Canis lupus familiaris: one gene and its partners. The protein of the gene in region 2 interacts with the protein of the main gene of each other region in a pairwise test. Links are inferred from orthologs where the notes say so. Each region holds a gene or a part of one and is shown on either strand. Other genes may lie near its edges.

Region 1 (4,080 bases), on a different chromosome or scaffold from region 2:
AGACTCAGAGGACAGAGGAAGTTGGTATGGGAGAAGGGAGAACAAGGTCAGAGATGGAAGGGAGAAGAGACAACAGATGAACAAGAGATGTAAGGGACAAATGGTTGTGACAGAGGGGTCTGGGTACAGATGAATGAGCAGGTATGAGGAGAAAAAGAAAGACCAGGCAAAGATGAGTGAGATGAGATGGGCGAATAAGAGCGGTCCAGGATGGAGGAAGAAGGAAAGAGCCCGAAGGGCCTCTGACTTCTCCAGATCTCTCCGAAAGATCCAGGAAGGGAGGAACCCAGCAGGGTTCACCAAAGTCAGCCTCGGGCAGGACCGAGGGTGGGCTGCCCGCTTGGCCCTCCCATCCCCTCTCAGGGCCACCGAGAGAAAGGAGATGCAAGACGGGAGGGGAAAGCCAGCGTGATGTGGAAGAAGCTCCGCCACCCTCTTCCTCTTCTTTAAGCTTTTGGTTTCTCAGATACCTGCCCGGTCTTTCCATCTGCTTCTCCCACCCCATCCCTTGGCGAAATCTCAGGGTTTCTTGGGGGTGTGTGGGGGGGGTAGGGTCAGTAGGATTCTGGCCATCCCTCCAGTCCGCCCCCAAAAGACAGACTCCACTTTGGCAGGCGGTAGGTCGGGATTCGGAGAGGTCCCTCCCCGCAGGAACCCCACCCCTTCCCACCTCCTCGCCCCACTCCTTTCTCCGCGACCGTCAGTCTCTCCATCTCCCCCTCCTGGTCCTGTCCTCCCTCCCGCCTCTCGCGCGCTCCCTCCCCTCGCTTTCATCCTCCTATCCCCACCTCGCCAACCTCCGCTTTCATCCCCCTCCCCTCTCCTCTCCTCCCCGCTCCCGCCAGCCCCACCCCTGGGAAGCCCCTCCCGTCGGGCAGCGCCGCCTTTATAAGCGGGTTCCCTGCCCGGGGGCGGCAGCGGCTGGTCGGCGGCAGCTCTGCTGTGCGGGGGCGGCGAGCCGAGGACCGAGCGACCGCGGCCGGAGCGCGCCGGCCACCGCCCGCACCGCCCTTCCGCCCGCCCTCCGGACGGCCGCAGCCCTGCGGGTCTCCGCTCCAGACCCACCCCCGCCCCACCCCGCGCGCCTCTGCCGCCTCTTCCAGAGACCCAGCCTGCTGAGCGGCCGCCGCTGCCGCTGCCGCCGCCGCCGCCGCCACCGCGCCAGGTTCCGGCCGCGGCCCCCCTCCGCCGTCCAGGGCCCCTCCGTCCCGGCCCCGGGACCCCGGCTCCCCGCCAGCCCCGGCCCCGGCCCCGGCCCCGGCCCCGGCACCATGTCGGAGAAGAGCGTGGAGGCAGCGGCCGAGTTGAGCGCCAAGGTACGGGCGGGGACGGCGGCGGCCGGGACCCGGCGCGACCCCCGGGCTCCGCGCGGCCCCGGGCCCCACGCCGCCCCCGACGGCCCCACGCTGCCCCGGCGCCGGGTCCCGGCGGACCCTGCTCCGCCCTCCCCCCTCTCCCCTGCCCGGCGCTGCCTACCCCGCTCCGCGCGGCTCCCGCCAGCGCCCTCTAGCTTCCCGAGCGCCGCGCGCCGCGGCCCCGGCCTCGCCGCCCGGCCCGCGCCCGGCCCCCGCCGCCGTCCCCACCCCTCTCGGGCTCCGGCTCGGGCTCCGGCTGCGGCTCCGGCTCCGGCCCCGGCCCCGGCTCGCGCGCCTCTACCCCGTCCGCTTCCCGTCGGAGCGCGCCGCAGCTCACTTTGCCGCGCCCCTCCCCCGCCCGCCCTGTCCGCGCCCCGTGTCCCCGTCTCCCTTTCCATTCTGACCTCACCTTTCCTCTGCTAAGCGGTTTGAGATTCTCCAGAGTAAACAGGACTCTCCCGGGAGGCTGCTGCTCCCGGGCCCCTCCCCTCGAGGCCCGGCCGCCTCTCGCCTCTCGCCTCTCTCCTCGGACGGCCACTGCCTCTTTTCTCCTCTCCTTTCCTTCCGTTAGAACCATTTCTTCCCCCACTGGCCTTCAGCTCTTTTTTCTCTCCATAGCCCCCTACAGCCTCTCCCCTTCCTCCCACCCCCAACCACACACACTTAAAAGAGTCTTGGATTCCTAAAAATCGGAAGGGGGGGTGGAGCGGGAATAGCCTTCGAGAAAGCCGAAGCTCGCGTTGCATGGCACTGCATCGAGCCGTCCTTGCTCTCATCAGCTCCCTTCCCTGGCTCCATCCCTTTGCCCTTGCTTCTCTTCCAGCCTTCCTCTAATTTCCCTAGGGAACCTGCTGAGTGTCGCTTTGGGAAATTAATTCGGCCAGCGTTTGGGGGCTGGGAGCCCGACTTTGGGGGGGGGGTCGGTTGTTGAGGAGGTCACAGAGGTCTCCTAGAGGCCCCCCGAAATGTGAGTGGGGGTAACTAGTGGGATTAAAGGCAGTGGCAGAGGGGCTACGTGTGAGAGCTGACAAGGTGTGCGGTGTGGCCCTCCGATGGGCTGTGCAATGGCATGTGACTTCACTGAGTAGGTGTCTTTGTATGTCTGAAATCCAGCGAGTGTGTGGGACTGCCCGTGTCAGTTACATGTGTGCATGTGGAGACGTAGATGTTTCTGGAGCCATGTTGCTGCTTTGTGAGTACCGAGTGGCTCCACTGTGCTCTTGTGCTGTCTCAAGAGTGTGTGTCAGAATGCCCAAACACCCAGGCCATGTGTCTCGGGATCTCATGGGCGCTCCTCTGTAGCTGTGTGTGTGAATCGGTGTCAGCCTGTGGCAGTGTGTGTGCCTGTGTTGAGTAAATGAGGCCAGAGAGCTGCTTAGCACAAGACCTAGGTCACATACCCTCCTGGAAAAGGGATCATGGAAGGACAGTGACCAGAAGGACAGGACAGGACAGGGGAGGCGAGGGCCCGGCCCCTTGGACTTTGGTCTCTGGTAGCCTCCCTTCCCCCCATTCCCATAATTTCCCCTCCCTCCCTCCCTCTCTCTAGCAGCCCAGATGGGAAACTCAGGCCAGGGCAGCACAGACCTGGTGCTGGGGCCCCCAGAGAGAAGCTGACTAGCCCCCCTGGTTCTCCAGGCCCAGAATGCAGGGGAAAGCCCACCGGGTAGCAGAAATGCCATATCAACCATGTGGCAAAGAAATGAGGACAGGGAAGGGGCATGAGGAAACCTAGCTGTAGTGAGAGGGTCCTGTGTTCTGTGTTCCTCTTAAAGGAAAGAGGGAATCAAGTGTTCCTCCAGGTCAACCATTCTATAACCAACCCCTTGCCCAGAAAGGACACACCCTCCAGGGTGATCTATTCGCACCGAAAACTTCATCCACATGGTATCAGATACACAGAGTTGTACGCCAACACCAGATCAGATCACACAGGGACATCCACAGTTGATCTGGTGCCTGCCATGGGCTTTTGGGGTGGGGTGGGTGGGAAGAGGACTGGAATCTAAACTGGAAGGGCTGGTGTGATGTCCAGAGAGGAGGGACCCATGAGCATCTCCATCTGCCATGTCAGAATAGGACATCACAGGTGTGTCTGCTGGGCTCCTGGGGTGGAGAGGTGCAGTGGAGGGAAGGTCCTCCACACAGGTATCTGCTCCATCTGCATTCTCATCCCACCCCAGATACAGACCTTGTTTTCTCTATCTACAATGTCCAATACCCTCTCCCTTCCGTGTTTCCTTTATCCTCCTTTACCGATACCGCCCCTGGAGAGGGTTACTTCTACCCTTGTACCACACCAGTGTGCGCATGGCAGGGTCAGGGGAGAGGATGTAGGGAGGAAGAAACTACTGAACTGGTTTGGAGTAGATGTGCATCATGTTGGCGTTTTTGGCCAAGTAGGAGCCTGAGGAGTAGGGGGATCCACGGGCGGAGAAACAAAGGCATTTGAGGCTGAGGGGGAAGCTGGGAGGGATGCCCAGGAGAGTGAGTACTCAGGAAAAAGCCCCAGAGGTAGACAAAAGGCAGAGCAGGGCAGGCAGCGGGAGGGGACAGGCCAGGAAGGCGGGAGGGGACAGGCCAGGAAGGCGGAGGGACCTCAAGAGGGGGTGGGGCATCGGGGCGGCAGAGCAGATGGAGGGGATTTGCTTTGCTGAGCTGAACTCTTCAGCCCGTGAGGTTTTGGAGAACTTGGTGGGAGTGATGAAGAGTTACCTTGGCTGTC
Region 2 (3,522 bases):
GCCCCGCGCTCGGGTGCTGGGCGCTGAGCTCAGAGCTCCACCTCCCTCGGCTTAGCCCACAGCAACCAGAGCGCGGGGATCCGAGCCTCAGGGGCACGGCGGCCTGCCCGCCTCTCAGCGCCTGAGCTCCGCGGCCGAGCGCACCTACCTTCAGCCCGACCACATTCTGTCCGTTCACCTCGCACACGGACTGCTTGGTGAGGAGCCCGTTGCGGGCCGCGGAACTCCCTCTGACCACAGAGACCACCGCGCCTTTCTTGATGACAAAGCCGACGTGGCCCGTGCTGTCCTTGTGCATGGTGACAGTGCGCTGGAACGGCCTGGCGGGAGAGACCGTGAGCCGGGCCTAGACGTGCCTGGGGCCAGACAGGGAGGCACCGGGGGCCTGGCCACTCACCTGTCCCGAACGACCATGGCGATCTTCTCTGCCGATGCCCTCTTCAGCACCCGGTGCGCTCGGTCCGTGCTCCACCCGGCACAGTCTCGGCCGTCAATCTGCAGGATCTGATCCCCAAAGCGCAGCCCCACAAGAGACGCGGGGCTGTTGGCCTTCACCAGCTGCACAAAGAGCCCCTGGAGGAGGCAGGGCCCTGTGGTCAGCTCCCCATCACATCACTCGGAGCCCAGGTCCCTCCGGCTGCTGTTTGCCTCCTGATCGTCTAGGAGCTGGCAGGACAGCGGTCACTCCATTTTCCTGGGGACAAAATACTCCAGGCCACATAGCCAGGGAGCAGCTGGGTAAGATCTCAACCCTGGCTGGAGGCTGCAGCCCCAGCCCCTGGACTGCATGGCTTCTTACGACGGCACTGGTCCCGCCGGCTTCCACCTTCTGCAGACAGCTGAGCTGCCTGGAAGCCAGATCCCTCTGATGGAGGAGAGGGAGGAAGAGAGACCCCGAATGGTAGGAGCCCAGGAGGCACAAGTGGAAGGTCCATTCTAGAACCCAGCACTGACCCTGGGGCCTTAGGGGAGGGAGGTTGAGAAGAAGAGCCTCCGCTTGAGGCTGGGTAAGCCTTGGCTCCCCTGCTTGCTCCGCACCTTCCTTACTGTGGACAGGGCCCGCAGCCCCCCTCCCAGGCTGGTGGGCAATACGTGTGGGAGATGCCCCCTCCTCTCCTGCCCAGTCCTCAGCCCTACCTGGTCAATGGCCCTCAGCCGTAGCCCCGTCTTGCCATGCTCATCTTTGCACAGGTAGATCTCGCGCACCCCAGGCTTGATCTCTGCTCGCCGTGTGCCAAGGCTGTTTCCAGACAGCGGTGCCACCAGCTGGCCCAGTGACAGGCCAGAGCCCACCATCTGCAGACACCAGGGGTCTCATAAGGATGGGGAAAGAAGGATGCAGTGGTCCCTGGGCCCTCTCCCATCCCCAGATCACACTCCTCTCTCAGGGCCTGTTAGGGTGCATGGCTCCGTGAAGCCACTAGGAGGCATCAAAGCCTATACCCCCTGAAAAACAGCCAGGAAAATGAGGGGAAAGAGAATGGGTATACAGAAAAGAAACCCTCATTTTGGTGTCAGGAGAAGACCCCTTCGAAATCCAATTAAAAATAAAATTTCACAGCAAATAGCAAGCAATTAGGGGGAAAAAGGACTTGATTTGTTTTGTCTTGAAAAAAAATGTAAGCAAAAAGTATAAAAACGAGTGCTTTCCCCGTAAAGCCCAGAACAAGTCAGGATGTCACTCTCACCACTACTCTTAAATGTGGTACTGGAATAACTACCCAGAGCAATAAAGTAAGAAAAGGAAATAAAAGGCATACAGACTGTAAAAGAAATAAAATGGTCCCTATTTGCAGATGATAGGATGATTTACTAGGATATTCCCAGGAATCTACAAATAAACTCTTAAAACTAAGTGACTTCAGCAAGGTCACAGGATACAAGATCAACACACAAAAATCAACTGTACTTTTTATACACTAACAGCATACACATGGAAACTGAAATTAAAAGTACACTACCAACTATAATTACTCAAAAATAAAACATAGGAGTAGGTGTACAAAACATATGTAGGACTTGCATACTGAAAACAAAAACAAAAAAGTGGCTGATTAAAGATATCAAAAAATATTTAAATAAATGGAAAGGAATTTTCTATTCATGAATTAGAAGAACATAATAAAGCCATCAATTGCCCCAAATTGACATAAAGATTCAATGCCATTTCTATCCAAATCTTTACAAGATGTCTTGTAGATGTAGGCAAGGTTAATCTAAACTTTATATGAAAAGACAAAGGAGGGACACCTGGGTGGCTCAGTGGTTGAGCGTCTGCTTTGGGTCAGGGCGTGATCCCAGGGTCCTGGTATCAAGTCCCACATCAGGCTCCCTGCTCCCTCTGCCTGTGTCTGTGTCTCTCATGAATAAATAAATAAAATATTTTTTAAAAAGAAAGAAAAGAAAAACAAACTATCCATTGAGAAAATGAACAAAACATACGAAGAGCATTTTACTGAAAAAAATCATAGCTGGTAAACAGCACATGGAAGGACATTGAACATCACTAGCCGTGAGGGAAATGCAAATTAAGACCCTGATGAGACATCATGACACACTTATCATAACAGTGAACGTTAGTGAGAAGCTGGCAAAGATGGGAAGAAACTGGAAGAGTGTCGCTGGCAAGAAAATAAAGCAGCAGAGCCACTCTTAAAATAGTTTGGCAGTTTCTTTTCAAGATTCAAACATGCATTTATCATACAACCTAGCAACTGTACTCTTGGACATTTATCCCAGAGAAATGAAAACTTATGTCTGTACAAAAGAACTATACAAAAATATCCATAGTAACTTACTTTGTAACAGCCCCAAACTGGAAAAAACTAAAATGACTCTCAATGGATTCAAAAGTCTTTGGGATGTCCATACCACGGACTGCTACTTAGCAATGCAAGGGGATGAACTAAGGGAGCGGGGGGTGGGGGGGGGCATTGATGGGGATTAAGGATGCAGGTGATGTATGGAATTGTTAAATCACTGTATTATACACCTAAAACTAATATAACACTGAAAGTTAACTATACTGGAATTAAAATAAAATGAAATAAAAACAAACAAATAAGCAAATAAAATGAGATGAGCTATTAATACAGTGAATAACCTGGAAAGGTTTCAAGGGCATTATGCTGAGTGGAAAAAGCCAATCTGAAAAGGCTACACGCAGTAGGATTCCATTTATATAACATTCTGAAACAAAATCATGGAGGCAGAGAACAGACTAGTGGTGGCCAGGGGGTTAGGGATGGTCAGGGGGAGAGAGTGGGCATGACCACGAAGGGCCGGCCTGGGGGAGACCTTTGTGGGGACGAAACAGTTCGTGCCTTGGTTGCACTGGTACTTACATGAGTCTATCTATACAGGTGACAAAGTGACACAGGACTACAGACGCTCACTGTACCAACGTAAAATGCCCGTTTTCCTTATCCTGTGGTTCTGCAGCCACTTCCTGCATAACCATTAGGAACACTCGCTGGAGGGTACAGCTTTCTGTGCCCTTCTCTATACTGTCTTTGTGGCTTC
Region 3 (4,325 bases), on a different chromosome or scaffold from region 2:
GGTCTTCCCAAAATAAGAATCTCTTAAAACTCCTAAATGGCTTCCTACAGTCCTTGGGAAAATATCCAAATATCTGTCATGGCTTACAAGGTCCTTAAAGGGGTGGAAGCTACCTTGTAAATTAAACTGTAACACGGCAAAATGAATAAGCCCATTAGGGCTAGAAGAGCCCCACTGACCTGTCACATCACTAGCTATCCCTTAATTAGCAAGTGACTTGTTTGTCCCTCAGTATCCTCATATAAAATTGAAATACTATTTTTTTAAATTCTATTTATTTATGAGAGACAGAGAGAGAGAGAGAGAGGCAGAGACATAGGCAGAGGGAGAAGCAGGCTCCATGCAGGGGTGCCAATGTGGGACTCAATCCCGGATCCCAGGACCACGCCCTGGGCCTAAGACAGATGCTCAACCGCTAAGCCACCCAGGTGCCCCCTAAAACTGAAATACTAATGCTCATCTTCCAGTGTGGACCTGGATGGTAAAAGGAGATAAAACCCAATGCTTGACACAGTATGCCACACATCTGATACATAGTACACGCTATTTACACACCTGATACATTAGGAAATATTGGCTACTGTTATTAACTCTCTACTTAGTGTCCCACCTCTCTCCCATGACTATTCTGAGTTCCGCCTATAGGGAGCATCCTTTATTTCCCCTTCTTACACGTTGCCTCTTGCTTGACCCATCCAGCCTATCAGGTGAGTCTTGCTTTACCTGTCAGTCCCATCCATTACCTGGCTGCAATATCCTCTCCTACCACTCCAACCCTCCTGGAATTCTTCAGGACTCATCCTAAATGCCACGTCTTCCAAGAAGCCCATCCGGCCTCTCCCGTTTTCCGTGAGGTGTCCTTCCTATGCGCTCTTGAAGGCTTCCAATGTTCCCCTGCCACACATACACCTGACTTCCTGGTCCTTCCTCTCCACTCCTAAATTCCCAGCTCCGTGTGAAGAGCAACTGTCCTGTTCCCCCATTGCCTCCCCCCTGCCTCACACATTGCCCAGCATGCAGTCAGTAGGCACTTTATTTTTTATTTATTTTTATTTTTTAGTAGGCACTTTAAATAAAGATTGCTCTGTGTGTGCGGGAGGGTATCTCTCCTCTCTCACAAGCCCCTCCCCCCCAACCTCCTCCCAAAATTGTCGTGGTTTGAAAAGCCCAATAGTCCTATAACAGTGATCTGCAAAATATAGGTCAGAAAAGGCTGCAACTGGCACACCTGCGGGGGGGGGGGGGGAGGGGGCTCTGCGCGTGAGCCGCTGCCTTGGGCTCAGGTCGTGATCCCGGGGTGGGGGCGGGGGGGTCGTGGGTTCGAGTCCCGCATGGGGCTCCCCGGAGGGAACCTGCATCTCCCTGTGTCTCTCATGGACACATGCAGTCTTTTCAAAAAGAGACAGGAAGAGGCTGCCACAGTGCAAACTCGGCTCAATAATACCGCGAAGGGCAGGTTGAAACAAAGGGAGGGCGGGCTTCTGAACCGCAGCACCTGAGTCGCTCCTACACTAAAGTGCATCGTGAAGTCTCCAAGCTGTGCGGGGTGCGGGTTGGGATATAATTCTGCAACTAACTCCTGCAACCAGGGTTCCTCGGAAGACAGGGAGCAAACCTGGTTTAAGGAGACGCCCTCCCGACGCTCGTCCTTGCAGACGGGAGAGCTCCGGGGCGCTTACTTGGTAGGTAGGGCTCCCTTACGGTGAACCCCCCCGCCCCCCGCCCCCACCCACAGAACCGAGAGCTTGGAAGGGACCCACAGGCGTCAAGGAGCGAGGCTGCTTTTGCAGATGCACGAAAAGCGGCGGGTGCAGGGCCACCCGGGAGCTCGGGGCACCAGGGAGCCCCGGGGGCCGGGCCTGCGGCTGCCGCTGCACCAATGCCTCCGGCTGCTCGGCTCCGTCGAGGGGCGCCGCCGGGATCCGGTCTTCAAGCCACGGCCGAGGTAAGCCAGCTGCCCCGGACCCCTGCACCCCCGCCCGCCGCCCGGCCTACGGTTACAGCCCCCCCCCCCCCCCCCCCCCGCCCTCCATCCAGCGCAGCTGGAGCTCCGCGGCGCTGCAGGGACGCCGTTTCCGCCGCCCCTCCTTCCCTTCGCTGATTGTTTTTGGAGGAGAAACTTTTTCCTGCAGACCAGACGAACCTGTTCAGGCTACGCCCCCCCCCGCCCCGCCCCGCCCCGCCCGGCGCTCCCCCGCGACCCGAGCGCACCCCAACCTCCCCTGGCCCCGCTGCCTTCCTCGCCGCGACCTCGGGGCCCCGGCGCCGGGCTTCACCTGGGACGGCCATAGCGCTGGAAGACGGCAAGGAGGCGGGGGGAGGCGTCGCAGGAGCCCTGGGCTTCCGAGAGGACCCGCCGCCCGCCTGCAGCGAGGCCCGCAAACGGCGAGGGCGGCCTCTTCCTCCCGCCGGCGCCGCGGGACCGCCGTGACAGTCCGGGAAGGCCGCTGGCGACAGCGGAACCCAAGTCCCGTCGAAGCCGTTTCCGCGGGGGGAGGCCTATTGCAGAGCACACACGGTCCGAACCATTGCCGCCCGCTCCCGGGGGGGGAGCGGAGGGGAGGAGTGAATAAGACCCGAGCCCGTTTACTGAGGTTAAACACCAAGGCTTAGAGATTGCTTTTTTTCAAAAGGAGTACCACAGATTCAATTAATGTGTCGGTTCTTAGCGGTCTTTTCTCTCCCCCCCCCGAGGCTATTGGAATCCCCCCTCCTCGGGATTAGCGGTGCTCAGGTCCAGAAGCGACATGGCGGCGCCCGTGAGGGACTAGTTTGGGGGGTAAAGGTAGTGGCTGGTGTGGCCGTCTTGGGGGCACTGACGCCCTGGAGCGCTCCGCGACCCCCCGAGAGAGGGAGCTGCGCTGGTAGGGGCGGCGGGAGGGGTCGGCCCTCCGGCCTCATTCGCAACCCGGAGCGGAGCCCCGCGGACCGGGCGGCATGAGCAACATCTACATCCAGGAGCCTCCCACCAACGGGAAGGTGAGGGCCTCGCCTGGGGCCGCGGGCTCCTCCGGGACCGCTCGGCCGCCGGGCGTCCCGTCCTCCGCGTCCCCGGGCGCGGCCTCCCACACCGTCTGCGCGCTCCGCCCCGCGGGTACGCGCCAGTCCTCGAGGCCACGTTCCCGCACCTCCCGGCCCGCGGCCCCACTTCTTGCTTCAGCCTGGCTCAGGCAGGGGGGTCCTCTAGGGCCCAGGGGGAAACAAAGTACTCTGAAAACCGGCTTGTTTGTTTATATTTATATTTATATTTACTTGTTTATATTTTTATTTGTTTTATTTGTATTTTACTTATATTTTTATTAATTTATACTTTGTTTATATTTTTATATTTTTATATTTGTTTCTATTTATTTATTTCTATATTTATATTTATGTTTATTTATATCTATATGTTTTATTTTTATATTTTTATTTTTATTTTTAACATTTATTTATTTTATTTATTTTTAACATTTATTTTTAATTTTTTATTTTGATTTATTTATTTTTAATTTTTATTGATTTAGGTTTTACTAATTTTTAATTTTTATCGATTTTTAATTTTAATTTTATTTTTTATTTTTGCGTTTTTTATTTTTATTTTTAGTTTTTAATTTTTATTTCCTATACTTATTTTCTATTTTTATAATTTTAAATTTTTTATTAATTTTTTATTTTTATTAATTTTTTATTTTAATTTTTATTCATTCATTTTATTTTCTAATTTTTATTTTTATTTTTACTTATTTTTAATTTTTATTCTATTTTTATTTTTGATTTTTAACTTTTGATTTTTTTATTTATTTTCTATTTTTTTGTTTTTTAATTTTTATTTATTTTCTGTATTTTTCTATTTTTATTTATAATTTTTGGTTTTTTATTTTTTGATTTTTATTTATTTTTAATTTTTATTCGTTTTTTATTTTTTAATTTTAATTTTTTTTACTTATTTTTAATTTTTATTTTTCTATTTTTATTTTTTATTTTTAAATTTTTATTTTTATTTATTTTTATTTTTTATTTTCTATTTTCATTTTTGGCTTTTAGATTTTTACTTATTTTTTATATTTATTTACTATGTTTATTTTTTATATTAGTTTAGCTATCTATTTATTTATTTTTGGTGTACTTGGGAACTACTCTTTCTCTATTCCTTCTACAACCTTTTATTGAACGCCTGGTGGTAGCCTTGGGCCCTGTACTAGGTTCTAGGGCTGCAGTGAAGGATGAAGGTGGTAGTGGTCGCCCTGGAGGAGCTCAGGGTTTTGTTTGAGAGGCAGGCATGTAAAGAAAAAGCTTTGTGATGCATCTGGTAGGCGCTTGTGGTGAGAGGAGGCTAGTGGTAT

What was found.
Region 1: the proteins of SDCBP2 (region 2) and PTMS interact in a two-hybrid assay, tested with the Homo sapiens proteins (2 studies listed by BioGRID and IntAct). The two-hybrid records come from large-scale screens. The link is inferred for Canis lupus familiaris from reciprocal best matches to the Homo sapiens genes SDCBP2 and PTMS.
Region 3: the proteins of SDCBP2 (region 2) and SREK1IP1 interact in binary tests that used the Homo sapiens proteins (3 or more experiments, as listed by UniProt). The two-hybrid records come from large-scale screens. The link is inferred for Canis lupus familiaris from reciprocal best matches to the Homo sapiens genes SDCBP2 and SREK1IP1.

What each region holds. Positions count from the first base shown.
Region 1 is NC_049248.1:7,822,014-7,826,093, forward strand, and holds the start of PTMS (parathymosin), read left to right. Parts: upstream 1-1,179; 5' UTR 1,180-1,271; coding exon 1,272-1,316; intron 1,317-4,080.
Region 2 is NC_049245.1:20,194,242-20,197,763, reverse strand, and holds part of SDCBP2 (syntenin-2), read right to left. Parts: intron 1,297-3,522; coding exon 1,138-1,296; intron 574-1,137; coding exon 398-573; intron 321-397; coding exon 149-320; intron 1-148.
Region 3 is NC_049223.1:49,880,518-49,884,842, forward strand, and holds the start of SREK1IP1 (protein SREK1IP1), read right to left. Parts: upstream 2,902-4,325; coding exon 2,821-2,901; exon of another isoform or gene 2,712-2,820; intron 2,500-2,711; coding exon 2,277-2,499; intron 1-2,276. Other genes in the region: spliceosome-associated protein CWC27 homolog, read left to right, coding at 2,938-2,979. UniProt on the Homo sapiens protein: Possible splicing regulator involved in the control of cellular survival.